3 linked regions of the Ovis aries genome follow. The protein of the gene in region 3 interacts with the protein of the main gene of each other region in a pairwise test. Links are inferred from orthologs where the notes say so. Each region holds a gene or a part of one and is shown on either strand. Other genes may lie near its edges. The genes, in order: KPNA6, KPNA2 and NUP50.

Region 1 (9,905 bases), on a different chromosome or scaffold from region 3:
CCCTATTTTAAGAGATGAAGAAAATAAAGCTCTGGAGATTAAGCAACTGGCTAAAGTTCTAATGGAATTACAGAATGAAACAGCTATAACACAAGATAAAACATGAAAAGGACTATATGAAAGGCAAGAACAAAGTGCTACAGAATTCACAAGAATAGTTCACTTCCAGTTTGAAAGGCATAAGGTACATATTTTGGAAAGGTCCCTGAGGGAGGTAGCCTTTAAACCAGATCTTGTAAAAGGGGCAAGATTTCCATAGGAAAAGACGGGCGGGGAAGGGATTGCTTTTGTCACTTTCTCTACCAGGAAAGCTGAAATACACACCTAGGAGGTCGCCTGAGTGGAATGAAGCATATGTGGATAAATATTAAATGGAGTCAGTAGGAAGGCCTTCAATACCACACCCTATGAGTTATGATTTTATCCTGCAGACAATAAGGAGTCCATGAACGTTCCTAAATTAAGGAGTAGGGTGACAAGATCTGATGGTTTTAGCAATACTGCTGCAGCAGAAGTGGTTGTGGTACAGGTTACAGAAGAGATTTAGAAAGTTTCTGAAATAATGACACCTTTACAACCTACAGTATTTTCTAACATCTAGTATTGATACTTCACTGACACTTCATTAACAACATTAACAGTATTATTATATTTTCACATCAAGGAGCTTGAGACTCAGCAAGTTTAACGACCACAGAATTAATCGTCTTTTTGGGACTATGCTCTGAGAAAAACGTACACAAAACAATTTAGGGATGACGGAGGACATCAGTAAGAGGATCATAGTATCCAACAACTGCCAATATAGGAAAGGCAGAAAAGAGTAAGGAACCAGTCTTACCAAGGGTAAGATTTCTCTTATGCCCTAGTGTCTAGACCAATGGTCTGACCATTAACAAAAAATGCAGGAAAGGGACCCCACGCGGGAGTGAGTCTGAGGCTGGGGAACACTTAGTTTAGCGCCTTCTCTGTTGTTATTAGGAACTATGGGGTGGGTGGGGAGGCAAGGCTGGAAGGAATGTTCTAGATTACTTCCTGACCTGCAGGGGTTATTAGAAAGGTTTTGCAAACTAGAGGCAACCTTCAGTATCCTACAGGCCAATGGCAGTGACAGTTCCAAAACATCACAAAGAGATCAGATTCTTTCCGTCTGGACCCTTTATTTATAAATTCTGCCTCATGAATTCCCAGCATTGCGAATGGCAATTTCAAGAGTCAGAAAAGGGCTCCTTTCTTTCCAGAGGCAGAACACAGTCCTTAATAGCCCATATTTTGGTTAGAACCATACTGCCTGAGGAAGTGATTCTTCTGTTTACTAGCTCTGACCTTGCATTAGTTATTGAACCTCTTTGTGCTTCAGTTTTCTCAACTAGAATGAGAATCTGAGAAATAAATGAACTAGTATTACAGTACTTAGTGCCTAGCATATAGAAAGTTCTATACAAGTAATGACTATTACTATAGCTTTCCCATTTCTTTTTAAGTTCTCAAACTTTGGTGAGATACCTGGGTTAAAATATAAACTGGCAAAAAGGAATAAAATTTGGCAAATAAGAAAGGCTTTTTCAGAAGTCCTCCAGGCTTCCCTTCACATCTAATCAGCCAAAATCTGTATCACCTGCCTATGCCTAAATCAATCACTGTCTAGAGAGATAGAATTATGATTGATTTAGAGTTTATATCAATCAAGACTAGTGGGCTATATCAATCATCCCGGGGCTGGGAAGGTGCTGCCAGATTCCTGGTTAGCAGGATGGTGAAAGTGAAAGTGAAGTCGCTCAGTCGTGTCCGACTCTTTGCAATCCGTGGACTGTAGCCCACCAAGCTCCTCCGTCCATGGGATTCTCCAGGCAAGAATACTGGAGTGGGTTGTCATTTTCTTCTCCAGGGGATCTTCCCGACCCAGGGATTGAACCCAGGTCTCCCACATTGTAGGCAGACGCTTTAACTTCTGCACCACTGGGGAAGCAGGATGGTAGGAACCTGATAAAAACAATCAATGTCTGCCGAGACTTAGTCTTGAGAGTCTGCGGTCTCTGCTAAGGAGGGTTAAAACAAATAACTTCCAGAGCTGCAAGCATCACCCCTACAAAACTCCTAATAGCAATGAAATAACGACAAAGGTCTGTTAAGGCTAGTGAAGTCTGGCACAGAAGAAACAGTATAGTATAGGCCATAGCCTGAGGAGAGTATGCTGGTCAGGCAGTGAAGTACGGCAGGGTCTAGACATGGAGGTGTGAGGCTGGCTGTGTTAGTGTCCCCAGCCCTAGGGCTTAGATCACCAGCCTTGGACTAAACACCAAATCTTCTCAAAGCCTGTTTACTCTTTTTTTTTAAAATTTTTGTTTTTACTTTATTTTACTTTACAATACTGTATTGGTTTTGCCATACATTGACATGAATCCTGAGGATAACCAAAACCACCTTCCCAGGTGGTGCTAGTGGTAAGAACCTGCCTGCCAATGCAGGAAACATTAAGAGATGCAGGTTTGATTCCTGCATCTGAAAGATCCCCTGGAACAGGGCATGGCGACCTACTCCAGTATTTGTGCCTGGAGAATCCCCATGGACAGAGAAGCCAGGCAGGGCTACAGTCCATAAGATTGCAAAGAGTCAGACACAACTGAAGTGACTGAGCACGCACACAAAACCATCTTGAATTTGATGTTAGGATTAAATGTAAGGATGCATTTCACTCTGTGGTATAAGGATCAGAAAACAAAAACAACCAACCCACACATAACAAAACAATAATCCACAAAACCCACACAAAACATCACCACCAACAGCTAAGTATTCAGAAAGACAAAGTGCAAGGTGGGATGGGGTGGGGGGAGGGGCCTGAAGTGGGGTTGCAGAGAAAAAGGGGAAGCTACTTGACTTTAGACTAAAAGTCCCCTTCAGGACCCTGGTCAGGTTTTGCTGCTCTATTGAAGAACTTCCATTTCAAAGTGTATCAGAAAAGGACTAACGTGATTCTACTTAGAGGTTTCTCTGCAGCAAAATGGGTAAGAATCTCACTTCTGGATTTGCTGTAACTAGTGTGTTCTATTCTCTGAAGTGGTTTCCCAATCTGTAAAAATTGAGTAAATCATGGCCAAATTTACTTCACTGGGCTTAATAAACTAAATATTAGCTCCTTCCCTGTTGAGGCAGCAATGTTGCTGAAACTGAAGGCCAACACAAAATCTATAACATAAAAAAGTCCCTAAGATTTTTCATTCATTCATGAAGTTGCAGTTATTTGTAACTGCAAATAACAGGCCTATCAGCCTTAATGAAGGATTCTGGAAACTAGAGTGCTTAAAAGAAAGGAACAGACACAGAAGGTGAAAAAGAATCTGTTTTGATATTTGTAGAGCTCTTGTGCCTGTGTGCTCAGTCTTGTCCAACCCTTTGTGGCCCCATGGACTGTAACCTACCAGGCTTCTCTGTCCATGGGATTTCCAGGTAAGAATACTGCAGTGGGGTGCTATTTCCTTCTCCAGATCTTCCTGACCCAGGGATTGAACCCAGGTCTCCTGTGCTTCCTGCACTGCAGGCAGATTCTTCATCTACTGGGGTAAGCCACTGGGGAAGCCCTACTAGTCTCCAGACAATGTGGAATCTCATTTAATTCTTAAACACCTGGGTAACACTGTCCCCTCCCCCTCTCTAGAGAAGAGGAAAGGAAGGCTCAGAAAGGAAGGAAAATAACATTTATTTTGAACTGTGCTAGATGTTTTCCATATGCATTACTGCATTTGACACTTAAGTGACTTCTCTGGATGAGAGCTAGGAAGTAGTAGGCAGGATTATAGTACCAGATCTGATTCTAAACTCATTGTTGTTCAGCTCAAGGGAATAATTTATGTTTCCTCAGGATCAGGGATCTTACAAAACTCAATCTTAGAATCTCATTTAGCTCCCCTCCCCCAAAACACCCATAATAGTTGGGGTTAGCAATTCACCTTGGAGTTGTTCAGTTTCTTTCAGATTAAAGATTTCAAAGCAGGCCCAGTAGCAAACAAAAACAAAACACCTTTACAACTCTTGCCTAGGATTAAAAGCTTTCTTTCCCTCTTTTCCAGCCCAACCACTAGAGGGCCAGGCCACAAAAAAAAGCAGCTATAAACTAGAGCTCTGGAGCGATCCACCTGGTTTAAGCCACTTACTGTGTGACCTTGCCTAAGTTACTTTACCTCCCTAAGCCTCAGTTTCCTTATCTGGGATAACAGTATTATCTCAATAGATGGTGCAAATTAAATAAAACGTGACATGTAAAGCAATCAGAACAATGCCTGCACAACAGGAAGAGCTTAGCAAATTTAACAGCTTTTATTGCTGGAGAAGAAGTACCACTGGTGGGTCTGTCCCTAAGTCCAAAGACTTCGCCATCGTAATCTCTCTGAGCATTGCCTTTGCTGATTGGAGTCCCTTTAATAAGAGCAACAGGTCGCTCCTTTTCTGCTAATCAGGGCCAGGCCTAGAAACCTAAAGTCCCCGACCTATACATGACTACGAGGTATTGGCATTGTTTTTCTACCACTATGAGGGCTGTCACTCTGAACCCAGCCGAACCACCCCATTTCCGCCTCGGCTCGGGAAGTTCTCCAGGCCTTCAGCGGCCCAAGCTGCTTTTGGCATGGCTGCCCCTGGTTATCAGGCCTAGAGCCGGATCGCCTGGCGTACCTTCGCCAGAGGACTTTCTCTCTCAGACGTAGGCAGGATTTCCCTAAGTTCAGGGGAGTCAGTGAATCCAGTTAATAGGCACGTCGGTCAGACACACGCCTGGAGAGGGCTCCCTCAGCGTCGTTCGGGCCTGCCACCCGGAGCCCGGCCCCCAAGCCCAGGCCCGGCACAGACCAGAAGGTCGGCCCCTTTCTAGCCTCCGGGAACGCGTGCGATCCGGCCCAGGGCCACCACGTGGGGGTTCCAGAAGTGACAAGGTATTCCCGGAACCAACCCCCAAAGACTGCTCCCCGCATGGGCCCTAACCCGGCCCCAAACTGGCCTGAGCGGCGCTCCCGGCCTGGCTTTTCCCCTCAAATCTATTTGGAGGAGATTCAGACATCCTCTACAGCCTGGAGATAGGCTCTCGCCAGACTCCAAGCTCCGAGACTGTCTCAGCCCGAATCCCCAATTGCCTGGTTTCCTTACTCACCCATCGCGGCTCCGCTCGCTTCTACTTGGCGGCGGTAGCGGCGGCAGCCTCAGCCGCAGCTTCAGCAGACAATATGGCGGATCTGCAGGACGGCAGCCCGGAATGGACAAACAACTTAACATTCAATACCGGGAAGAAACGCGCTTTCGGCCCCAGCCTCTAGTTCACACAGACGAGCTCGTTTAAAGAGACCGCAGCTGCTAGAGGCGGGGAACTGGGATGAGATATGAAAGCAGTGGGTGGAGGAAAACTGGGAGGGACACCTACTAAATAAAGTTAAGCTGCTTAAGATTTCTCAGCTTCTTCTACTATTCCTGTTTGTAGTGAGTTGTCCTCCCCTGGAAACTTTTTCTTCCAAAAAGGCATTCCTTCCTTTTGTATTAATAGTTAAAACCACGCATAGACCCTGGACTGGATATGAATAAGGAGTTATCCGGCAAGGTAAAGTGACTTGCCCAAGGATATAGAGATAAGGAAATGAAGAAATCTAAAGTAAACCTGATTACAATCCTATTGAGAGATAAGTAGAAAAATGACACTGGTGCCAGGCTTTATAGTTGACAGAGCGCTTCATTTATCCCTACTGCAAGCTCTCTGAGGGCAGAGGGTCGGTTCTATACCCTTTATTACTGCTCTTCAGCACCTAGCACAGTATATGGGATAGTGTATGTGCTCCATAAATATTTATTAAATGAATAAACAGATGAATGAACAGATCTGTGAGTTACACAAAACAAGGAATATGATCTCCTTATTTTGAGATGAGAAAATTGAGACTCTGAGGTTCAAGTGTCTTTTGCTGTTGTTGTTGGCTGCACCCTGTGGCATGTGGGATCTTAGTTCCCTGACCAGGGATCGAGCCCTCATCCCCTGTAGTGGGGAGCCTGTAATCTTAACCACTGAACCACCAGGGAAGTTCCTTATGTGCCTTTTGAATCGTGAAATTTATAGCTGGTGCACATTAGACCTCCCTTTTTACATAATTGCATTCCGGTCCGCCTATTCCCCATCTCAACACACAGAGGAAGGCTATGTCTTTGTCATGGATCCCAAGAAGAACTATCTTTTGGGAGCCGAGGTCCTGTCACAATAAATTGCCATCTCTAATTGTGTACCCAGCCCATTGACGGAAGCAACTCAAAACGCCAGTTCTAGGATTCGGGGTCAGGAAAGGGAACCTTCTCTTCCTCTTCCTACTGCCACTGCTCAAGGTCAGACCCCTTTGTTCTCTGCTGGTCTGTTTTACCTGTCTCCACACTGGTCTCCTGTGTCCAGGTTCTCCCACTTGCTCCATTTGGCTATGGTGAGTCTTAGTTGTGGCACTTGGGATCTTTAGTTGTATGCGGAATCTAGTTCCCTGACCAGGGATCGAACCCAGGCCCCCTTCATTGGGAGCTGAGAGTCTTAGCTACTGGACCACCAGGGAATTCTCTGCACCGACTCCCTGCCCCCATCTCTTTAAAAGCAAAGACCTTATCATGTTAGGCTGGTCCTTACTGGCTTCTTGGGCAACTCCCCACCAGGCAATCCAGGCTCCATCCATATTTGGGAAACCACATTTTCCCATGTATGCTCCTATCTTCTTTTGTGCCTTTCCATACGCTTTTTAAAAAGTATTTTTGTTTATTTTTGGCTGTGCTGGGTCTTCCTTGCTGGGTGTCGGCTTTGGTTATGACAAGCAGGGGCTACTCTTTGTTATGGTGCGTGGGCTTATCATTGGAATGGCTTCTCCTGTTTTGGAGCACCAGCTCAAGGGCCACGGGCTTAGTTGCTCCAAGGCACGTGGCATCTTCCCCGACCAGGGATCGAGCCCACGTCCCTGCATTTTCAGACAGGGTCAGCCTATGTCCTCTCTGCTCCCTCTTGCCCTGGACACACATTTTCCTCAGCACTTGGCACCCTAAGTTGTTCACGAGGTGTCTCTCTCTCCTGGTTGTCTATGGAAGAGACTGTATCTTCCTCATCTCTGTCTCTGTCCCAGTGCCTGGCACAATGCCTGACTCAACAAAAGCACCAAAAACATTTGCTGCAGTGTCTGTCTTCTATGCACCACCAAGGGAGCGCCAGTATAACTTGTGGCAGAACAAGGACTCAGGGGACATGCTCAGACTAGATGAGTGTCTATAACTGTGTCTCTTCTCCTGCCAACCCCTGAGCCCTCCATCCTGTGGTCCACGGAGCCAGGAGGGCTTCCAAGCAGCTTCATTTCCATTCTTGCCCTTGGCCTTGCTCACATCCCCTCCCTTGTTGTTCAGTTCCTAAGTCTTATCCGACTCTTTGGGACCCCATGGACTGTAGCACGCCGGCTTTCCCCGTCCTTCGCTGTCTCCAAGTTTGCTCAGATTCATGACCATTGAGTCAGTGATACCATCTAACCATCTCATCCTATCACCCCCTTCTTCTGCTGCCTTCAATCTTTCCCAGCATCAGGGTCTTTTCCAATTAGTTGGCTCTTTGTATCAAGTGGCCAAAGTATTGCAGCATCAGCTTCAGTCCTAATGAATATTCATGGCTGATTTCCTTTAGGATTGACTGCCTTGATCTCCCTAGCCTACAGCCATTGAGCCTCCCTGATCCAGTCCCTGCAGACCTTTCCAGCTCCAATCCACCTCTGCCCCACTTTCCTTATCTTTCCTGTTCTAGGAACCACATTCTGCTTACCCTCCCTGGATACACCAGAATGTTCCAAATCTCTTTGCTACTGCTCTGCTTGAAGCACCTTTTCCTCCTCTTGTCCCCCTGTGAAGTGGCTGATACAACTCAGACTGACCCCTCCTCCAAGAAGCCCAGAGAGCATTCAGTGTTCTCTCCCATGAGCCATTCTGTACCTTGTAACTGTTATAATCACCTGCGTGTATTGACATGTTTGTTTCTGTGTCTTGGCATCTTCACCATCTACCGTGGTACCTGGCACGGAGCAGGGTCTCAGTGACTGTGTGCTGAGAATCAGGACATCACATCAGGATAGCAGTGTCATCTTTCAGAGGGTTTTGGGGCCCAGCTCCACTACTTCCTAGCTGTGTTACCTTGGGCAAGTCACTGTAGCTCCCTAAGCTTGTGTTTTTCTTCTATAGGAGTGACAGCACCTACCTCCTAGGGTTGTCATAAAAATGGGATTAAGGACAGCCCTGTACTACATGGAGGGCAGCCTCTGGCATACAGCAGCTACCGCTGCTACCTTGATCTCTGGTGTTTCCTCATCCTTTCTCCACTGGAGAAGGCTGCACACGTGGGGCTTGCTGGCCCAGAATCCCACACCTCTGCTTGCTGCCTGACAGGCAAGAGGGGAAAGAAATACAAGACACAGGCTTATTGGGAGTATAAAAATAGGAATTTTTTCCTCATAATCACATCAATTATCAAAGAAAGAAACAGTATGTAACAAAAATACAAAGCTCTGGTGGATTTTTTTTGTTTTTGTTTTTGCCCCTCACCCATCCCTCCCATACAGCTACTTCCCAGGGAGCCCCTGGCTGAAGCCTGAATGCTGTCCCTGGGTCGTCCTGGGGCTCAGGAGAACCGGTGGTCTAGGTCCCTCTGGGAGTTGGCCGAGTACGAGTAGGCCTTGCCCAATACCAGGCGGTCCCGCAGCAGCTTGAAGAAGGCGTAGTAGTTGCTGAAGAGGATTAGCGCCAGTGAGATGGTCTGGTGCCACTTGTCGGAGGACATTAAGGAGTATAGCTGGTAGACGATGACTGCGCCCTCCAGCAGCAAAAGGATGTTCAGGATCCGCAGGGGTTTGCTGAAAAAGAACTACCCAGGAAGAGAGTAGGCATGGACTGGAAAGTAGGCTCCAGAAATCTGCCTCTTGGATGGGGGTTCTGGGTGGCCAATGAAGGGGTCAAACTCTTGGGGCCCCATGCAGACTTGGGTGGGGAGTCGGACTTCATGGGGTTGGGTATGGACCTTGTCACCTATCTGCCTTTATTTGTGGGCCACTGCCTCCCTGGGACTTCTCGGTGGCCCACTGGTTAAAACTCCACCTTCCAATGCAGGGGGCGTGGGTTTGATCTGTAGTCAGAGAACTAAGGTCCCACATTCCGTGGGTACAGCTAAAAAAAAAAAAAAGATGACTACTGCTTCCGACATAGTTGTTTAAGATCCTGATCAACTTCTACCTTTTCTCAGAACCTTTTCTTGAGAGGTCTGGCTTGTCCTATCAAACTTTTTCTGGTTGAAAAGCAGTATGTGACCTTCTGGGTACTGTCAGGCCTGAACAATGTAGCATTTTATGACAGAGACATGTAAAGTTATTATAGACTCCACAGCCTGAGTCCTTTACTACAGCGTGTGCAGCATTCCTCAGCTAGGCCAGAAGCTTCCAGGGAACATGGGCACATATCACTCTTACCTGACGTGCACAGGGCAAGGTAGAATACAGAGGACTAAGAAAAACTTTCTGATCAATTTGAAAGAATGATCAACATCCAGGGATCATGATTCTGCAGGGGCCAAGGTACCTACACCTCAAGAGCTAATGACAGGATGGGAGGAGGAGTGGCAAGGAACAGGAGCCCAGGAGACCAGCAAGCCAGGCTCAGCTCTGCACCCGGCAGCTGCAGGACCTTGGGCAGGTTCCCTTCCTGTCTGGACCTCAGGTTTCTCTACTGGGAAATAAAGAGATGAGACCAGACCTATGGTTTTTCAAACTGTGTTCCTTGGAGCCCCAGGTTCCAGGGGGGTCTTTTAGGAGCCACTGGAGTATTGAGCGGGACGTAAAGGGAGTTCCAACCCTTTCAAGCAGAGCTGCACTGTGAGGTCC
Region 2 (9,905 bases), on a different chromosome or scaffold from region 3:
GATGTCTCTGCTTTTTAATATGTTATCTAGGTTGGTCATAACTTTTCTTCCAAGGAGCAAGCATCTTTTAATTTCATGGCTGCAGTCACCATCTGTGGTGATTTGAAGCCCGAGAAAATAAAGTCTGTCATTGTTTCTACTGTTTCCCCATCTATCTGCCATGAAATGATCTTAGTTTTCTGAATGTTGAGCTTTAAGACAACTTTTTCACTCTCCTCTTTCACTTTCATCAAGAGACTCTTTAGTTCTTCTTCGCTTTCTGCCATAAGAGTGGTGTCATTTGCATATCTGAGGTTATTGATATTTCTCCCAGCAGTCTTGATTCCAACTTGTGCTTCATCCAGCCCAGTGTTTCTCATGATGTACTCTGCATATAAGTTAAATAAGCAAGGTGACAATATACAGCCTTGATGTACTCCTTTCCCTATTTTGTACCAGTCTGTTGTTCCATATCCAGTTCTAACTGTTGCTTCCTGACCTGCATACAGATTTCTCAAGAGGCAGGTCAGGTGGTCTGGTATTGCCATCTCTTTAAGAATTTTCCACAATTTGTGGTGATCCACACAATCAAAGGCTTTGGCATAGTCAGTAAAACAAGTAGATGTTTTTCTGGAGCTGTCTTGCTTTTGTGATGATCCAACAGATGTTGGCAATTTATTTATTTTTTTTTTTTAAGGATTAGAATTTTTTCAGTATTTTAATGAGAACACTTTCTCACCATCTTTAAATAGAAATGACTCCCACTTTTTACTCTGAAGCTGCTGGGCTGTCAGCATTTCTTCGCTTCCTGGTCCGTGGGGTTCAGAAGCCACCGTACAACCAGCTCACCAGTGCTCTTCAGGCACGTGTTGGACATGTCCTCCTCTGTTGGGAGACCCTGGGGCAGCTTCAGGGGCTTGATTCTTATCAAATGTTTAACCACTTTCAGCTTTGCATTCACTGAAGGGATATTCTTGTGAACTTGAGGAGTGTGTGCTTTTTGTAACCCAAGCATCTTTATTATATCTTTCTCCCAATATGGACGTCTTTTTGCACTTTTTATTCTGGTAACAATATGCAGTTTATGAGGCTGCTGTGGATCCCCACCGTATTTTTCATGATCTTCAGGTGAAGGCCAAAAAACTTCATCTGGAATTCTTGACCTCGTAAATTTGTGACGAATCCAGTCTGTACAAACAAGAGGTTCCACACCTTTTGTTGCCGTTTGTAGTCTCCCTGGGGGCCTCCGAACTATTGAGCGCAAAATCCCTGCCATGGATGTGATGGCTGTTCTCCTTAGAGGCAGCAGTTGCTACAAGTCTCTCAGCCTTAAGTTAACCACTGAGGAGAACAGGAGCCGAGGAAGCAGATGTTGGCAATTTAATCTCTGGTTCCTCTGCCTTTTCTAAATCCAGCTTGAACATCTGGAAGTTCGCAGTTCACATATTGCTGAAGCCTGGCTTGGAGAATTCTGAACATTTCTTCACTAGCATGTGAGATGAGTACAATTGTGTGGTAATTTGATCATTCTTTGGTATTGGAACGACAACTGACCTTTTCCAGTCCTGGGGTCACTGCTGAGTTTTTCAAATTTGCTGGCATATTGAGTGCAGCACTTTCATAGCATCATCTTTTAGTATTTGAAATAGCTCAACTGGAGTTCCATCACCTTCACTAGCTTTGTTCGTAGTGATGCTTCTAGGAAGCATCAAGGCCCACTTGACCACATTCCAGGTTGTCTGGCTCTAGGTGAGTGATCACACCATCGTGGTTATCTGGGTCATGAAGATCTTTTTTGTAGAGTTCTTCTGTGTATTCTTGCCACCTCTTCTTAATATCTTCTGCTTCTGTTAGGTCCATGCCATTTCTGTCCTTTATTGTGCCCATCTTTGCATGGAATGTTTCCTTGGTATCTCTAATTTTCTTGAAGAGATCTTTAGTCTTTCCCATTCTATTGTTTTCTTCTATTTCTTTGCACCGATCACTGAGGAAGGCTTTCTTATCTCTCCTTGCTATTCTTGTAACTCTGCATTCAAATTGGTATATCTCTCCTTTTCTCCTTTGCCTTTAGCTTCTCTTCTTTTCACAGCTATTTATAAGGCCTCCTCAAACAACCATTTTGCCTTTTCGCATTTCTTTTTCTTGGGGATGGTCTTTATCCCTGCCGTCTGTACAATGTCACGAACCTCTGTCCATAGTTCTTCAGGCACTCTATCATATCTAATCCCCTGAATCTATTTCTCACTTCCACTGTATAATCGTAAGGGATTTGATTTAGGTCATATCTGAATGGTCTAGTGGTTTTCCCTACTTTCTTCAATTTAAGTCTGAGTTTGGCAATAAGGAGTTCATGATCTGAGCCACAGTCAGCTCCTGGTCTTGTTTTTGCTGACTGTATAGAGCTTCTCCATCTTTGGCTGCAAAGAATATAATCAATCTGATTTCGGTATTGACCATGTGTAGAGCCTTCTCTTGTGTTGTTGGAAGAGGTGACACTATAAGAATTATTAATTTAAATCCCAACCCTTGAATACATGTTTTTAAGATTTTATGTGACAAAATGGGAATTATGCATAAATCACTTCTACCAGATAACCAAAATTCAGTGAGTGTCTCTTGGGGAAACATTCTGTGCAGTGTTTGAGTTATAGGCTAAACTCGTTGCCTTTTCGATGGAACACAGTTCTTACTTGAAAGAATGGCTGACAGACTATGATTATTCAGACTTGGCCACACTTGAGTTTGCCTCTCTGGTTCAGCTTCCTTCTCAGGCTCACATCATCATAGCACACAGTCCATTGGAAGAGAGGGGATATCTCACAAAAGTCTCAGTAAATATTTTACTGTATTCTGTTACATCTTCATCAGCAAAGCAATTCCTGTGTCTGGGGGATGGAATGGGATTGGTTTAGGCTACACTAGGCCCTCTCCTGAATCTCCATCCCAACTACAATAGGAAGGTTTGAGTGGGTGGGGTCTGTGTTTTCCCAGGCAAGGCATCTGTCAAAGGCAACTTTCACTGTTGACAGTTTACTTCTGTTTCAGGTTGTTCTCAGGTGCAAGTACGGAATAGTGGTCAGAGAGCATGGATCCTGGAAGGACAGGGCCTGGGTTTGAGTCCTGTCTCTGCCATTTACTCCTGTGTGCATGTGGACAAGTTACTTAACCACCCACTCTTCTCTTCCGTGAAATGGAGCAGATAATAATGCTACCTCACAGAGTTGTGAAGATTAAATGTATTCACAAAGATAAAAAACTTGGAACACTTCTGGGCACATAGTACCCAATATGTATTCGTAAGCAAAAGAAGACACACTATAACTAGCTTAAACAACAAAGGAAGTGTACTGGATGATGTATTTGCAAAGTCATATAATTGCAGCCTTTTGAAGTAAGGTAGGGTATTGATCAAAGTTTTCATGATTTCTCTCCAATTGTCTTACTGGATTTCCAGGATTCACATCTCTCAGTTGAGAACAGAGCCTGCTTTCCTACCTCTCATCATTAAACAAAAGGTATCCGGCTTCTCAACTGAATGAATTTAGGTCACATGACTGCCCCTGAACCATTCACAGTAGCCTGGAGAATACCATGTAGTGACTGGTTTAGAGGTGAAATCCCACAACCTTGTGCATTTAGGGGGGGTAAGATTATCCTGATTGGTTATGTGGAAGTAGAAGGAACCTCCATGACTCTCATTACTGTTACACAATGAGTGAGGCTGGCAAAAATGCCTGCAGGAGGGACAAAGTTCATTGTTTGAATCATAGTAAAAAAAGAAAAAGCCAATACAGCTTTTCTTAAAAATACCCTTCTCAGGATACAGAAAAGCTGCGAAAAGAAAGTGGACCATAATCCTGAGGTTCTGATGACTATCACTGAAGCTTTTTTTAAATTACAAGAAAATGCAAACATTTTATTTGAAATATATAAAATATAGCATAGATCATTACTATAACAATTGATGATCTGAACACAGAATAAATAATCGCATATAAGTTCAATTGTCTTGAATTTGATGATTATGGTGTGGTAATATAACAGAATGTCCTTATTCTTACAACATACAAGCTGAAATATTTAGGGGTAAACGGACAAGATTTCTCAAACTTACTCTCAAATGGTTCAAAAAGTAATATGTAAAAGCCATGTATATATAAATAGAGGTACACGTGCATGTGTGTATACATATATATATACATACACATCAAAATAGTAAATTAACATTTAACAAATATGGATAAAGATTTGCAGTTCTTTTGTATTTCAAATTATTAAAAATAAGACTGGAGAAGCAGGCATTAATAAAGCTTTTGTTAACATAGTTCTGCCTTCTATGCAGTCTTTTATGACACAAGTTAAAAACAGTAACTAACAAATGCAGCACATATCTGCCTTATCCCTCCCCTGCTTGATGTCCAGAGACCCCGGCAAAGTTCTTTCTGAGTCCCATCGGGAAAAATGCATAGCAATATATTTCTTTATTAAGATTTTTAAAGAGAATTATTTTGGGAATCATTTGTGGTACTTAGTTAAGGCAAACACTCAGGAAAACGACCAGCCACCACACCGCGGTAAACCCATGCAAAGAGCTGACCCTCCGACCAAGATGGACAGGGAACCGGCCCTGCGCGCTGCATGCCGGGATCTGGAGTTTTTCTTCTCCGCACTGCAAGGCTCTCAGGGATCGCGCGGCCGCTCCCTTATCTCGCGATGCTATCCTATCTACTTCTGGGCCCTCTGACCCCTCCCCAGCTAACGTGTTTTTCAAATCCACCAATGGGCGTATAGCGTAAGCTCGAACCAGCCAATCGGAATGCGGAGCCACCGGGAAATTTAAATCGCGCCGGCCGGCTGCACGAGCCACACCGTCCTCGGGCTGACCGTGGTAGACGTTTGGAGGCAGTAGATCCCGCAGCTTGTGCGCCGCGCACAGCCTCCGGTGGACGCTTGAGCTTGCTGTGTAGGTAACGAACTGAGGTCGCAGTGCAGGTGGAGCGACAAAGGCTGGTCCTTAGGCCGCTCTTGGATTGCTGGAGGCGGGAGGGGAGTCCCGGGGTAGACGCCCGGCCAGGCTTCGGCCTCTCTGGTCGATGAGGCCTTGGGGGCGTAGTTCGTTGACGAAACGGGTGTTTCACTGTGGATGCGAGTGCATGGGCTTTAGTGCCCGAGGCCTTGCGAACCGCTGCAATCGCCTTTGAGTAAGAATTATTAGAGTCAGGCCCGAGAACGAAAGCCTCGGTAGGGGGCCCGACGCCTCTGGCTCCTCCTCCGCGGGTTCCCGCTGCTGCTTCCCCGAAATGGGGGTGGGGAAGGGGGTAGGGGAGGGGACTGCAGATGGAGGTGGCAGTTGGAAGTGCTATCTCTTAATTTGTAGGCCCTGGGTTGGCTGTGTCACGATTTCGTAAAAGAACAGAATGGAATTAAAGATAGCCACTTTGAAGGAGGACTTTTGTGATTTTTTTGGGAGATTGCTCTTAAGTAGGTGAGTTTGAGTGGAACGCAGCTGATAGAGCCTAATTTAGTGCATTCACTCAGAATTTCTGGAAATGAAAACGTGCGAGATGCTGAACTGCGTCGCAGGTGTTCAGGGTGGGCAGGAAATTTTATGAAAGTTTACATAATGTTAACGACGAATCAGATTTTTAAATATTTTCAAACGTGCAGAATGTATCTGTTTGGGCCGTTTAAAGCCAGTAGAGCCTCGGAGAAGGCAATGGCACCCCACTTCAGTACTCCTGCCTGGAAAATACCATGGACGGAGTAGCCTGGTGGGCTGCAGTCCATGGGGTCGCTGAGAGTCGGACATGACTGGGCGACTTCACTTTCACTTTCATGCATTGGAGAAGGAAATGGCAACCCACTCCAGTGTTCTTGCCTGGAGAATCGCAGGGACGGGGGAGCCTGGTGGGCTGCCGTCTATGGGGTCGCACAGAATCGGACACGACTGAAGCGACCTAGCAGCAGCAGCAGAGCCTCCAGATCTGAATTTGTGGCCCGTACGACATAGATTTTAACTGTAACCTTATATCCCGTACGTTGTCTTCAGTTAACTATTCATGGATCCTATATAGAGTCTAGAGCCATGCTGTGCAGTGTGATAGTCACCAAAGGCGTGTGGCTAGTCTAAACTGAGTTAATGCTGTAAGCTTAAAGTACCTGCAAGATCTCGAAGAATTAGTATGAAAAAAGAATGCAAAATAGTTCAGTAATTTTTTTGATGTAATGTGTTGAAGTGAGAAAATAGATATTGGAGTAAATAAAATATATTATTGAAGTTAATTTCATTTGTTCCTTTTTGCTTTTAACAATCGTGGCTACTAGGAAGCTTAAATTTATACAGCTTGCATTATATTTCTGATGGACAGCACTGCTCCTGGAAGCCTCAGCCCTTCAGAGGGGAGGGGCCAAATATAATTTGGCCAAAACTCATGTTCCATAGTGCTGAAAAAGGAAGTTCCTCCTCTAGTATGGAAATACGGATTGAACGTGTATTTGATAATTCCCTTAATGCTATGTTATTGCCAAACAAAGTGATAAAAAGGAAATTTTTTTCTCTCCCCTATCTTGCAGCTTTCTCCCTTTGTCTCATAATCATGTCCACCAATGAGAATGCTAATTCACCAGCTCCCCGCCTTCACAGATTCAAGAACAAGGGGAAAGACAGTACAGTGAGTACCTTCTGTTGTTTTTCTAGTATTTTTTAAATGGTAAGGTATTTGGAAAGAGCGTCCACACTTTGAGTGAATTTAAAAAGTTGTCTTCACTTGGCACCTAACACTGATGTAATAGGTGAGATGATACGTTATCTTTTCTCAAGGAAATGAGGCGGCGCCGAATAGAAGTGAATGTGGAGCTAAGGAAAGCTAAGAAGGATGACCAGATGCTGAAAAGGAGAAATGTCAGCTCTTTTCCTGATGATGCTACTTCTCCACTGCAGGAAAACCGCAACAACCAGGTGAGGATATTTTAGTTTATGAGTTATGGTAAACCCAGAAAATCAATATGAGGCCTTTCTGAGATATTTAAATAACATGTCTTAGCTTTGTGGGTTTTAACTATCAAATGTGAAGATCTGTCTTTGTGTGCTCCTGTTCAGTAATTCTGATGGATTATCTTCCCCCCGCCCATCCTCTGTAATCTGTGGAAGCTGATTCCAAGGTTGTCTTTAGCTCTGATCTCCCCTTCAAGTTTCCCTGCTTTTCCAGTTGCCAGCTTTTACTTTGAGTTGGCCATTCAAGTGTTCAGTGAAAGTATGTCCAGAACCAACTTTTTTTTTTTCCTGCCTTTTTTTTTCTTTCTCTCCCTTTCCCTTCCTCCCTCCCTCTCTTTTTTTTGTAGTTGTCACCAGCTTTTTTCAGGTCTTTTTCCTCAGCTGTCTCTTGATTTTCTTTCTGTGCCACTTACTGTTTACCTAAAAGTTTTCTTAAAATACTGCTTAAAACATCTTAGAAATTTTATGATTCTAAATCCTTTTTAAAAGGTTTTTTGGAAATTAGACCCATCCTAGAGTTCTACTCATGGAGACTTCGTGATTTTATCAGAAGTCAGGGAAAGTTGCTCAGTTGTGTCCAACTCTTTGCGACCGCATGGACGATACAGTCCATGGAAGCCAGAATACTCTAGTGGGTAGTCATGCTCTTCTCCGGGGATCTTCCCAACCCAGGGATTGAACCCAGGTCGCCCATATTGCAGCTGGATTCTTTACCAGCTGAGCCACCAGGGAAACCCCATCCTACATTTTTAAATTTATCTTTCATCTTTTAAAAATATTGGGCAGTTTCCTGCTTTTTCCCCCCACATTATGCTTTCCTTCAGTTCTCCTCATTTTATCAGTGTTCTCCCCCCCCCCCCCCCCCCCCCGCCCCCCTGAATTCGACCTGTGTTGTGTTTTTCAAGTTTTATACTCAAATCTCATCTTCTCTTTGTAGCACTTCTAGGTCATCCTAACAGGAAAAATGCTTCCTTCCCAGAATTCCTACAGCACCCCATTCTGCACCACAAATGAAGAGTAAATTCTGTATAATGCTATATACAGTGTTTTATATATATAATCATTTGTTCTGTGGTGTTTAGATTTTACATTGTCCTTGTTGTAAGGTTTTAGGGAGAATGTGATACTGTCTTTTTGAGTTAACTGTAGCTTGGTTCGCAAATGCTGCAGTTAACTCCAATATGTAGTTACTACCTATAATGTTTATGTGTGCATAAATACCACATAAACCGGAGGGGAAATGCATGGATAACAACTTTAGCTTTTCAGATTCCCAGCACATTGCCTCTAACTCTGTCCCTTTTCCCCTAAAAGCATATCTGAATACAAGTGATTGAGACTAATGTAAGAATAACCTTCGCAGTGCTCTAGTTCATTTTTTTTAACCTATTCACAGCTACTTTTCTTAGTGACTAGATGCTGGGATACTCCATCACTTAAGATATCATTTGGTCATGACACCTAATTTGAGGATTGTTCTATATATTAAATATTGAATATTTAACAGGCGAATTTAAATGTGGGACTAAACTTTAGTAACTGATTATAAACAGAAATGTCTTCGTGTTGGGATTGCATTGTATTTAATCTTAAAAATGATAATTTGAAAATTAATTTCCCTGTTCTTGTAGGGCACTGTAAATTGGTCTGTTGATGATATTGTCAAAGGCATAAATAGCAACAATTTGGAAAGCCAGCTCCAAGCTACTCAAGCTGCTAGGTAAGTCTTGTCTTCTGTAGCATGAGTAAACTAAGAAATCAGCCTTTTTACATTTTTTGGTGGGAAAGCAATGGCAGGTGGTGCAGAGTAAAGGTTAAGCCAGGCCTAGGCCAATTTTCATTATAATCTTTCCTAATCTAAAATTTTCTGTAGTTGCCTCAAATTACATCTACCTCCAGTGATAACTTTAGTGTACTTCAGAAATGTTTTCTTGTCACTGGCATTTCAAGTCAATGTCAGGGAAAGGAGGAATTATTCAGTAACTGGGATTACCACATTGATTTAGAATGGTTCATCCATTTAGGAAATAAATATATTCTATTTATTAGACTCTTCCCACCCACCATACACAGCTATCTGTGACATCCATAATATAAGGATTGATGATCTCTGTAGCCTCACAGTGTGGGGAAAAGCAGGTCCAATTGGCAGAAGATCAGGGGAAACGTGTGTGTCCCCACCACTGGCCAGAGTAATGCGGATTAATGGACTGTGATGGTATCGTATGTCAAAGTTTTTAAAAAGTGGTAAGATCTGGAGTAGATTTCTGCAGAGAGAAGGGTTCTGCGTCATTGGTAATATTTCAGTTTTGGGAAAAGTAGTTTACGACACTACCCCACCATGCAAACAGTCTGTCTGCTCAGCTCCTCTTAAATTCCAGGATATGTCAGCATTTAGTCTTCACTGTAAAAGGTTACTTAAAGTTCTAAACTCTTGGATTAAGATGCATTTTATTTTATTTTATTTTATTTTTTTAATTTTTATTTTTACTTAATTTTACTTTACAATACTGTATTGGTTTTGCCATACATTGACATGAATCCGCCACGGACGTACATGAGTTCCCAATCCTGAACCCCCCTCCCACCTCCTACCCCATATCATCTCTCTGGATCATCCCCGTGTAAGATGCATTTTATTTATTTATTTTTTTCTACTTTTATTGGTTTTGCCATACATTGACATGAATCCACCACAGCTGTACTCATGCAAGATGCATTTTAAATTGTGTTTTTTATATGAACTTGTTTGGTCTCGAGTTGGCGTTTTAAATTGTGTTTTTGTTTTTATTTTTTTCCTCTGGTATGAACCTGTTTGGTTAATCACCTTCAACTTTTGTTTCTCTTTTTGCTTACCCATAGGAAACTGCTTTCTAGGGAAAAACAGCCCCCTATTGACAACATAATCCGGGCTGGTTTGATTCCAAAATTT
Region 3 (9,905 bases):
CCTGACTCAAATGTAATGTCCTTCCACCCACATTTCATTAGAATCTATCCAAATGGAAGTTCTTTCATTTCTGAAATATTTTAATGTCAAAACAAATCATTATGTGGTAGGCCTGGAATGTGACTATAGCCTAAAACGTGGAAAAAACTTAGTTACCAAAGACGTGCTTAAAAAGTACCAAGTCAGTCAAAATTGTTAAAAACACTTCTTTATAAGCCCATACTTGTGTTTTGGTTTCCCTAAAAATATTAGTACACATATTTGTAAAGGAAAAATATTAGTACTAGAAAACAGATTAAAAAAGAAAGAAAACAGCAGTCTAAGAATTATCTTGGAAATGCTTCTGCAAACTATATGTATATTTTTTAACTTAGCACACTTCTTTTAACTTGAAAGGCTAACTTGGTTCAGGCTTGGTCAGTGAACTGGCCTGGGAAAATCAAACTGCTGATGAGCCATTTCAGAAATGCAGCTGTGTTTTATTCTTTTTAAGAGAAAAATTAAAAGGTTTCCTCAGGGAAGACCATTTTTATTAGGAAAGAAACTAGGCCATCTAAATTCTATTCCTGTTAACCCAGTTAGGGGTGGAGAGTGTCTCAGATCTTTAATATGAAATAAAACAGGACTCCCAGAAGCAGTACAGTAAGGGAGGCAACCTCAATCTTCTAAAATCTAAAACTGTGAGTATGGCAAACTAAGACACTGGTGGTAAAACACTTTTCAAATTTACTTTATAACTAGATTATTTACTCAGCCTTCAATCTGGACTAAAACCATGGGCTGAGTGTGCGCAACGAAATGCTATATGAAATTCAGGAGGAAGGTGATTCTACAAAGGAGTAGAGTATTGAAGGAATAGTCGCTAATCGAAAAGCACACCCTTTAATTTCTACACTAAGCACAGATCATAAGAAACCGTATTATTTCCAGTTCAGTTCCGTTCAGACGCTCAGGCATGTCTGACTCAGCGACCCCATGAATCGCAGCACACCAGGCCTCCCTGTTCGTCACCAACTCCCGGAGTCCACCCAAACCCATATCCATTGAGTCAGTGTTGCCATCCAACCATCTCATCCTCTGTCGTCCCCTTCTCCTCCTGCCCCCAATCTTTCCCAGCATCAGGGTCTTTTCCAATGAGTCAGCTCTTTGCATCAGGTGGCCTAGGTACTGGAGTTTCAGCTTCAACATCAGGATGCTCTTGAAAAGGCCTTTTATTTTTACGACAAAGTCTTCACGAGGAATCACAAAACAAATTTAAATTTGGAAGTAGCAGGAAATCATTCTTAGGGAAAGCACTTTTTACCTCTTCTGCTTCATCTTCTTGATCCCAATTCCTATCTGTCAATTCCTTCTCGGCGATTCTTTTGGCCATTTTTTTGAACCTAAAGGTAAAAAGATTAGAAGTAGTAAGCTTTTGTTGTTGTTAAGTCGCTCAGTCATGTCCAACTCTTTGCAACCTTTTGGACAATAGCCCGCCAGTCTCCTCTGTCCTTAGGATTTACCAGGCAAGAATACAGGAGAGGGTTGCCATTTCCTTCTCTAGGGGATCTCCCCAGTCTAGGGATTAAACCCACGTCTCCTGCACTGGCAAGCGGGTTCTTTACCAATGAGCCACCAACGCACCCAGTAGTAAGTCTGCTTTTCTAAAACATGATTTAACTCTTACAACAAATTTTTAAAATTTACTTTAGCATGAAATGAGATATTCCTGATACCAGTAGGCACTTCTTTAACGAGAATGGTATAACATTGTTAGGCTCCCAGTGTCACAAATCCAACAAAAATTACAGGAGAAGGCAGCGAGGTCTTCTAAGGCACAGTGAAAAACAATAAAACAACTCCATTTGAAAAAATGCTGATCATACACTGATTTTTAAAAATCAGAAATCTACAGAACTGCATAATAAACAACAAATGCTCAATTAACTCCATGCAAATTACATTTATACACAGCCTGGCTATAGGCAAGATATTTTTAATATTTAAAATTCTCTTAAGGATATTTAGTAAAGTTTGACCTTAGTCAAGAATGTGAATGAGTTATTATTTTCACTACAAGAGTACAGATGGTCCCTGACTTCAAGGGTTCATCTTGCAAGTTTTCAAGTTTATGATAGTGGAAAAGCAACACTCGTTAGGTAGAAACCTTCCTTTAGATTTTGACTTTTTCTCAGGCCAGCAACATAAGGTATGATATTTTCCTGTGATCCTGGGCAGTGGCAACAAGCCACAGCTCCCAGCCAGCTAGCCAAGCCACCACACCACGGATATACTTACAACCATTCTGTACCCATATAACTATTCTGATTTTCATTTTCAGTATAGTATTCAAAAAATTATGAGATACTCAACATTACTATAAAACAGTCTTTGTGTCAGTTGATTCTGCCCAACAGTAGGCTAATGTCTGAGCACTTTTAAGGTAGGCTGGGCTATGATCTTCAGTAGGTTTGATCGACTTACAGTACTTTCAACTTACCATGGGTTTATTGTGACATAATCCCAACATATGTTGAGGACAGTTCAAAATATGATTAACATGACTGTGTTAACATTCTTAGAATTCTTAATTCTTCACTAACAAGCCACCAGCAGCAGAAACCAACATAACATTGTAAAGCAATTGGCATCCAATTAAAAAATAAATTTAAAACAAACAAAAAAATCCCCAAAAAAGAATAAGAAGCCATCAGCTCAACTTCTATTCAAGGCTTGTTGTTGTTTAGTCGCTAAGCTGTGTCCGACTCCATGTATTCACACCTTAAAATTTCCAGTTTATTTTCTGATCCTAAGATGTGTATCTGTTGCTATTAAAATCTGAAACAATCAATGGAGAGCTCCACTGTGAGTGTTGTGCTTGGCTCTTCCCTAACATCAATTAAATGGGCCAAAAAACTCCTTACCTTGCCCAGAGATTTACTGATTAGCCTGGAACACTAGCCAGGGTTCTTGAAAACCAGCCTAGCTTCCTTCCTAGTCCTTCCCCACTCTTATTTGCCCTCAAGACCACAACCCACCAGAGAAGTTCCTAGAAGCTCCTGGTCATTAAGATACAAACTGACACATCACCCATGGGGCACAGTATGATCTGTAACATAAAATTCAAATGCAAGCATTCCAAAGTCCTCCAAAATCCTATCCCCTGGTAGGATAATCACATAGCAATTTTCAGCTTTTAATAATCTCCTAATAATCTCTGAATTTTTCTTTTACCAAGTGCTTTTTTTCTGATTACAGAATAAATGGCTTTAAAGTCCCAGATTCTAAAACGTGAGAATTAACATAATTTTGTCATTACTTGCAAATCTTTTTTAATGCCTCCATTCCAAACACTCGGTCAAGTTTTGCTATTAATCTTGTCATCCAGAAAACAAACAAGGTACCCTTCCGCATAAATTCTTAGTAAACTTTAACTGTTCAGAGGCCAGGCCTCTGTGTGGGTTCTTTCGGGCCATTTTCCCATTCAGTAACTAACACCTCCACCAGAGGGCAGAAGAGGGGAGAAACTTAAATAGTCTATTTTTGCTATTAACTTGATAACCTAACTAGTTATTAACAGGCAAAAAGGAGTGGAGCTGAAAGTGCAAAAACTTTTAAGTGTTAAAACTATTAACACCTAACCCATAGCCACAACTGAAGACAACCGGCATAGTCAAAGAACCTAAATTAACACAGCCAATTCATTTCCTATTCCATATTTATCCAATCTCCATTTTTATCAAATCAAAGAATAACCAGAGGGCAGGTATCTTTGTTTCACTCACTCAGGTACCTCAAAACCCGCCCCCCTCCACAATAGACGATCTAGAATCAGAGATCTGGGACACTGCAAAATTGAGAAAACTACAAAATGTTAGCATCCAGTTTTGCCATGGTGTTGTTGAAGACCTTGGGCAAATTATTTCATTTTTGTGCCTCCATTTCTTTACTTCACAACAGGGAGGTGCTGTGAAATTTATAAACAAAAAGCTTAGCTTAGAGGAGTGGCTGGAACCGAGGTAGGACTCAATATATCTTTTCAAAGAGAAAAGCTCTGTCAGAAACAAAGGCTCTAAAATACCTTCCCTCCCTAACTTGAAGGTTGCAGTGTGGAAAAACAAAATTAACTTGAATTATGAACCGGGCTCTAAACAAGACTTTACCAAATCCATGTTTTATTTCAAAGCATGGTACTTCAGACAATCACATTTCTTTGAAAAAGGGGAAAAGTGCCGGTAACGTACTTAGAACAAAGCCTGGCACCTCCAGTCTTTCAGTGTTAAGATCTAAGAACGTAAAAAAAAAAAAATGTGGGCTTGTGGTTTAGGAGGCACCAAATCATGACATGATTACTGGGTATGAGGCATACCTCGGGACAGGAAAATCGAAAACTTTCGGTAACTGGGGAAACTTCATGCGTGCCTGCTCAGGGAATTCTGTGATCTCTGCCACCGCGGGCTGCCCCACCTTGGGGTGACTTCGGTCCACGTCGGTCTACTCTAAGACGGGAACAGATTGGAACATACTTGACACCGTGATCCCCGGAGGAAAAATGGAACCTGGGGCCGGCCCCCGGAGACTGAAACGCTCGGGGAAAACGGAATCCTCGAACATTGCTTCTTAATCGAACGGAGTCAAGTGATCAGGGGCCTGTGGCTGCAGTACAGGAGGAGGGTGGTGGAAGGAGCGCAGCGAGACGAGCACCGGAAAGAAGCGCGAGGGAACACACCGAGCCAGGACGGCCCCTCGCCTCTCCGGCTCCCGCCTCCGCCGGGGCCGCAGGGGCCCCGCGCCCGGGCCCGGCCGTCCCCAAGTCGGACACCGCAGCCCCGACAGGCCGGCCCCGAGCCCGGCCTCACAAACACCCCGCCGGGGTGCGTCGCGGCCGACACCGCGCCCCACCCTCCTCCGCTCCCTCGAGCGCCGCGTCCCCAGCCGGCGCCCCGCACCGCGCTCCACCCTCCTCGGGCTCCTCGTTTCAGGCCCGGGTCCGGCACCCGGAGCCCGGCTTCCTTCTCTTAGACCCGGCGCCCGCCCCTTCCGTGCCGCCCAGTCGGCCCGCCCCTCACCTCTCCGGTGGCTGCGGCGGCCCTCGCTGGGTTGCGGGCGCGGCGAAGCCGGGGTGCGCAGCGGCGAGCAGGTGCGAGGTGGCGGCCGCGGCACTCGGGTCTGAAGCGGCGCGCGGTCGTTTCTGGTGTGCTGAGAGCCTCGAAGGATTCGGTGATCGGCAACCCCTGAGTCTCAAACAGCATGTCCTTCGGGGTTGGGGGGCTCTCGTTTCTCTGCGTTGAGCAGTGAGGGGAGGTAAGCCGTCCGTTCAGCAGGAGACGGCTGAGAGAACAGGGCCCCACACACCTCAGGCCGCCATTTTGTAACTCGAATCGAGCCCTCCCGATCAATTCGAAAAAAAAAAGGGAGGAAAGAAACGCCCGCGTCCAGCTACTGCGCAAGCGCGCCGGAGCCTCGGTTGGCAGCACTACCCACGGCAGCGGCCGGGCCTCTCGCAGCGCATGCGCCCAACTGCTTTGGAAAAAAACCGTCGCCGAAGGCGCGTTCCCCGTCTTTCGCATGCGCGCGCGCAAGCGCACAACCCACGCTCTGGCTCCGGCAGGAAGTCCGCCCCGGGGGGCGGGGCTTGTGCGCGTCGGCCGCGTGTGGGCGCCGTCCGCGTTGGAGGCGGTCGCGCGCGGTTGGCTGCTGGTTGTGGGCGCGGCCGGGGTTCCGGAGGCGCGTGGGAGAGCGGAGGCTGTAGGGGCGCGTGGCGGGCGCTCGTGGTGTGCGGGTGGGATGCTGGAGCTCGGAGAAGGGAGCGGTCGTGTCCCCCGGAGGCTTGAGTGAACTCGGGTAGCGTCACTTCGGGAGCTCGGTGCCTCAGCCGTGGACGAGAGCTGCCCCACGTGCCTGCGTCGCGCCGGCCGCGGATGCTCGGAAGGTCTGGGACTCGCGGAGCCCGGGAGGGAAGGTCGCGGGCGTGGACGAGAGAAGCGGACGTCCTCTGTTCCGCGGCCAGCTTGTATTTCCTTTCCGCGGTGGGTGCCATAGAGGCGAAGGGACTTGCCGTTTTGCACCGCTAGTCGGTATCAACGAAGATGACGTCTGCAAACGCGTTTTTTTAAACTGTGGGACAGATACGACTGTCCAGGGTCAAGAGGTGTATTCGTATGCTTTTGCCTGAGTAGTGCGGTACCATGTACAGTAATGAAGTGAAAGTCGCTCAGTCGTATCCAACTCTTTGCGACCCCATGGACGATAGAGTCCAGAAATCGAAATGGGTCTCCTGCGTTGCAGGCGGATACTTTACCAACAGACCCCAGAGACGACAGCGCACCAAGCTCCTCTGTCCCTGGGATTCTCCAAGCGAGAATAGTGGAGTGGGTTGCCATTACCTTCTCCAAACAGAGCTGTGAGAGAATGAATAAATTTGTACAAAGCAATTTAAACGCTCCTTGCCTTACAGTTAATAGGTCGCTATGGGAATTAGATCCGTTACTAGTCAGCAAAAATTGCTTCAGAAAAGGAACGTTCTTATGAACCATGGTTCTTAACCTTATTTTTTCCTCCAGGCAGGGTTTATGATTTACTTGTGTGAAATACCGGCTTCCTTGGTAGCTCAGCTGGCAAAGAATCTGCCTGCAATGAGGGAGACCCCAGTTGGATTCTGGAGTTGGGAAGATCCCCTAGAGAAGGGATAGGCTACTCACTCCACTATTCTTGGCCTTTCCTGGTGACTCAGCTTTTAAAGAATCTGCCTGCAGTGCTGGAGACCAGGCTTCCATCCCTGGGTTGGGAACATCCTCTGGAGAAGGGAAAGGCTACCCACTCCAGTATTCTGGCCTGGAGAATTCTAGGGGAATCGCAGAGAGTTGGACACGAAATGTGTGAAATGAAAACATCTCCTGCGTTATTAATAAACAAGAAGTATAAGAAACAAAGTGAATGAGGAAACAGGATTGGTTCCAGATGGCTGAGGTGCTTATGAAGGGAGTGAATTCAGTGATACCTGGTCTTTGATGTTCAGACTTGCCTGCTCCTTTTGTTGCAAACTTGTGTATAGCCTGACTTTCCCTCCTGCCTCTTGGGAGCAGTTGTCTGAGAGCTATTGAGATGCTGTCTCCTGGGCTGGGAGTCCGAAACATCCCACCAAATAAAATAACTGTCTGCTTTCAGGGTGTGGCTATATGTTTTAGTCCACACTTGAAAGCGCAAAGAAAGTTAGCATGCGTTCACGCAGAATCAAGAGGTGGGAACGTTCTTGGCGGCCACTGAGGAAGTCTTGAAGAATAGAGCCGTGAAGAAAGCAAAGCTGTAGAAATGTTGGGTTTGAATTGAAGTGTTTTCTTACAGTTTCTGGTACTAAACACTAATATGATTTCTGAGTTGTAGAGTATTTCCACCTCTGGGAGCAATCAGATCAATAAATGCTTTTAAAAAAATTGTCCTTTTATGTAATCTATCAAGAATGCTTTTTAAATGTATGCATAGTTCCCTGTGCTATACAGTAAGTCCTTAGTTGGTTATTTTGTGTATAGCAGTGCTGTGTATATGTTAATCACAAACTCCTAATTTATGCCCCACCCCCACATCTCCCCTTCCTAACCCTGGTTTGTTTCCTATGTCTGTGAGTCTATTTCTGTTTTGTAAGAAGTTAATTTGTATCACTTTTTTAGATTCCGTATATAAGCAATATCATATTTGTCTTTAGCTGGCTTACCTCAGTAGGATAATTTCTAGGTCCATCCATGTTGCTGCACATGGCATCCGTTCCTTTTTATGGCTGAGTAATACTCCATGGTGTGTGTGTGTGTGTGTGTGTGTGTGTGTGTGTGTACACCACATCTTGATCTATGTCGTCCCTAGTGGCTCAGCAGTAAAGAATTCACCTGCAATGCTGGAGATGTGGACTCTGTCCCTGGGTTGGAAAGATCCCTTGGAGAAGGAAATGGCAACCCACTCCAGTATACTTGTCTGGAAAAATCCGAGGAACCGAGGAGCCTGGCAGGCTACAGTCCATAAGGTTGCAAAGAGTTGCACATTGAGCACGCAAGAACATCATCATGTAGGGAACCAATCTGCATATAATTTCAGGATGTTTATGAACCATTCCTGAAAGCCTATTCATGGACTGGTGTGTAAAGACTGCTTATCTAGATACAAGGATTACACGTTCAGTTCAGTTGCTCAGTCGTGTCTGACTCTGTGACCCCATGGACTGCAGCACACCAGGCTTCCCCGTCCATCACCAGCTACCAGACTTCACTCAAACTCGTCCATTGAGTTGATGATGCCATCCAACCATCTTATCCTCTGTCATCCCCTTCTCCTCCTGCCTTCAGTCTTTCCCAGCATCAGGATCTTTTCCAATGAGTCAGTTCTTCACATCAGGTGGCCAAAGTATGGAGTTTCAGCTTCAGCATCAGTCCTTCCAATGATGGACTGGTTGGATCTCCTTGCTGTCCAAGGGACTCTCAAGAGTCTTCAACACCACAGTTCAAAAACATCAATTCCTTGGTGCTCAGCTTTCTTTATAGTCCAAGTCTCACATCCATACATGACTACTGGAAAAACCATAGCCTGGACTAGACGGACCTTTGTTGGCAAAGAAATATCTCTGCTTTTTAATATGCTGTCTAGGTTGGTCAACTTTTCTTGCAAGGAGCAAGCGTCTTACTTTCATGGCTGCAGTCACCACCTGCAGTGATTTTGGAGCTCCAAACAACAAAGTCTCACTGTTTCCACTGTTTCCTCATCTATTTGCCATGAAGTGATGACCACATGTCATGATCTTAGTTTTCTGAATGTTGAGTTTTAAGCCAACTTTTTCACTCTCTATCACCAAGGAGCTCTTTGGTTCTTTACTTTCTTCCATAAAGGTGGTGTCATCTGCATATCTGAGGTTATTGATATTTCTCCCGGCAATCTCAATTCCAGCTTGTGCTTCATCCAGTCCAGCATTTCTCATATGTACTCTGCGTATATGTTAAATAAGCAGGGTAACAATATACAGCCTTGATGTACTCCTTTCCCTATTTGGAACCAGTCTGTTGTTCCATGTCCAGTTCTAACTGTTGCTTCCTTACCTGCATACAGATTTCTCAAGAGGGAGGTCAGGTGATTTGGTATTCCCATCTCTTTCAGAATTTTCCACAGTTTATTGTGATCCACACAGTCAAAGGCTTTGGCATAGTCAATAAAGCAGAAATAGATGTTTTTATGGAACTCGCTTTTTCAATGATCCAGCGGATGTTGGCAATTTGATCTCTGGTTCCTCTGCCTTTTCTAAATCCAGCTTGAACATCTGGAAGTTCATGGTTCACATACTGCTGAAGCCTGGCTTGGAGAATTTTGAGCATTACTTTGCTAGCGTGTGAGATGTGTGCAATTGTGTGATAGTTTGAGAATTCTTTGGCATTAACCTTTCTTTGGGATTGGAATGAAAACTGACCTTTTCCAGTCCTGTGGCCACTGCTGAGTTTTCCAAATTTGCTGGCATATTGAGTGCAGCATTTACACAGCATCATCTTTTAGGATTTGAAATAGCTCAACTGGAGTTTCATCACCTCTATTAGCTTTGTTCGTAGTGATGCTTCCTAAATCTCGCCTGACTTTGCATTCCAGAATGTCTGTCTCTAGGTGAGTGAGCACACCATCGTGATTATCTGGGTCATGAAGATCTTTTTTGTACAGTTCTTCCGTGTATTGTTTCCACCTCTTCTTAATATCTTCTGCTTCTGTTAGGTCCATACCATTTCTGTCCTTTGTCGAGCCCATCTTTGCATGACATGTTGCCTTGCTAGCTCTAATTTTCTTGAAGAGATCTCTAGTCTTTCCCATTCTGTTGTTTTCCTCTATTTCTTTGCATTGATCACTGAGGAAGGCTTTCTTATCTCTCCTTGCTATTCTTTGGAACTCTGCATTCAGATGCTTAT

What was found.
Region 1: the proteins of NUP50 (region 3) and KPNA6 interact in binary tests that used the Homo sapiens proteins (3 or more experiments, as listed by UniProt). The two-hybrid records come from large-scale screens. The link is inferred for Ovis aries from reciprocal best matches to the Homo sapiens genes NUP50 and KPNA6.
Region 2: the proteins of NUP50 (region 3) and KPNA2 interact in binary tests that used the Homo sapiens proteins (3 or more experiments, as listed by UniProt). The two-hybrid records come from large-scale screens. The link is inferred for Ovis aries from reciprocal best matches to the Homo sapiens genes NUP50 and KPNA2.

What each region holds. Positions count from the first base shown.
Region 1 is NC_056055.1:235,400,723-235,410,627, forward strand, and holds the start of KPNA6 (importin subunit alpha-7), read right to left. Parts: upstream 5,228-9,905; 5' UTR 5,148-5,227; coding exon of another isoform or gene 5,144-5,147; intron 1-5,143. Other genes in the region: TMEM39B (transmembrane protein 39B), read right to left, coding at 8,654-8,896. UniProt on the Homo sapiens protein: Functions in nuclear protein import as an adapter protein for nuclear receptor KPNB1. Binds specifically and directly to substrates containing either a simple or bipartite NLS motif.
Region 2 is NC_056064.1:48,651,454-48,661,358, reverse strand, and holds the start of KPNA2 (importin subunit alpha-1), read left to right. Parts: upstream 1-4,844; 5' UTR 4,845-4,946; intron 4,947-6,552; 5' UTR 6,553-6,575; coding exon 6,576-6,650; intron 6,651-6,799; coding exon 6,800-6,937; intron 6,938-8,604; coding exon 8,605-8,693; intron 8,694-9,835; coding exon 9,836-9,905. Other genes in the region: large ribosomal subunit protein uL30m-like, read right to left, coding at 770-1,255.
Region 3 is NC_056056.1:221,478,480-221,488,384, reverse strand, and holds the start of NUP50 (nuclear pore complex protein Nup50), read right to left. Parts: upstream 5,363-9,905; 5' UTR 5,049-5,362; intron 4,479-5,048; 5' UTR 4,396-4,478; coding exon 4,349-4,395; intron 1,383-4,348; coding exon 1,304-1,382; intron 1-1,303. UniProt on the Homo sapiens protein: Component of the nuclear pore complex that has a direct role in nuclear protein import. Actively displaces NLSs from importin-alpha, and facilitates disassembly of the importin-alpha:beta-cargo complex and importin recycling.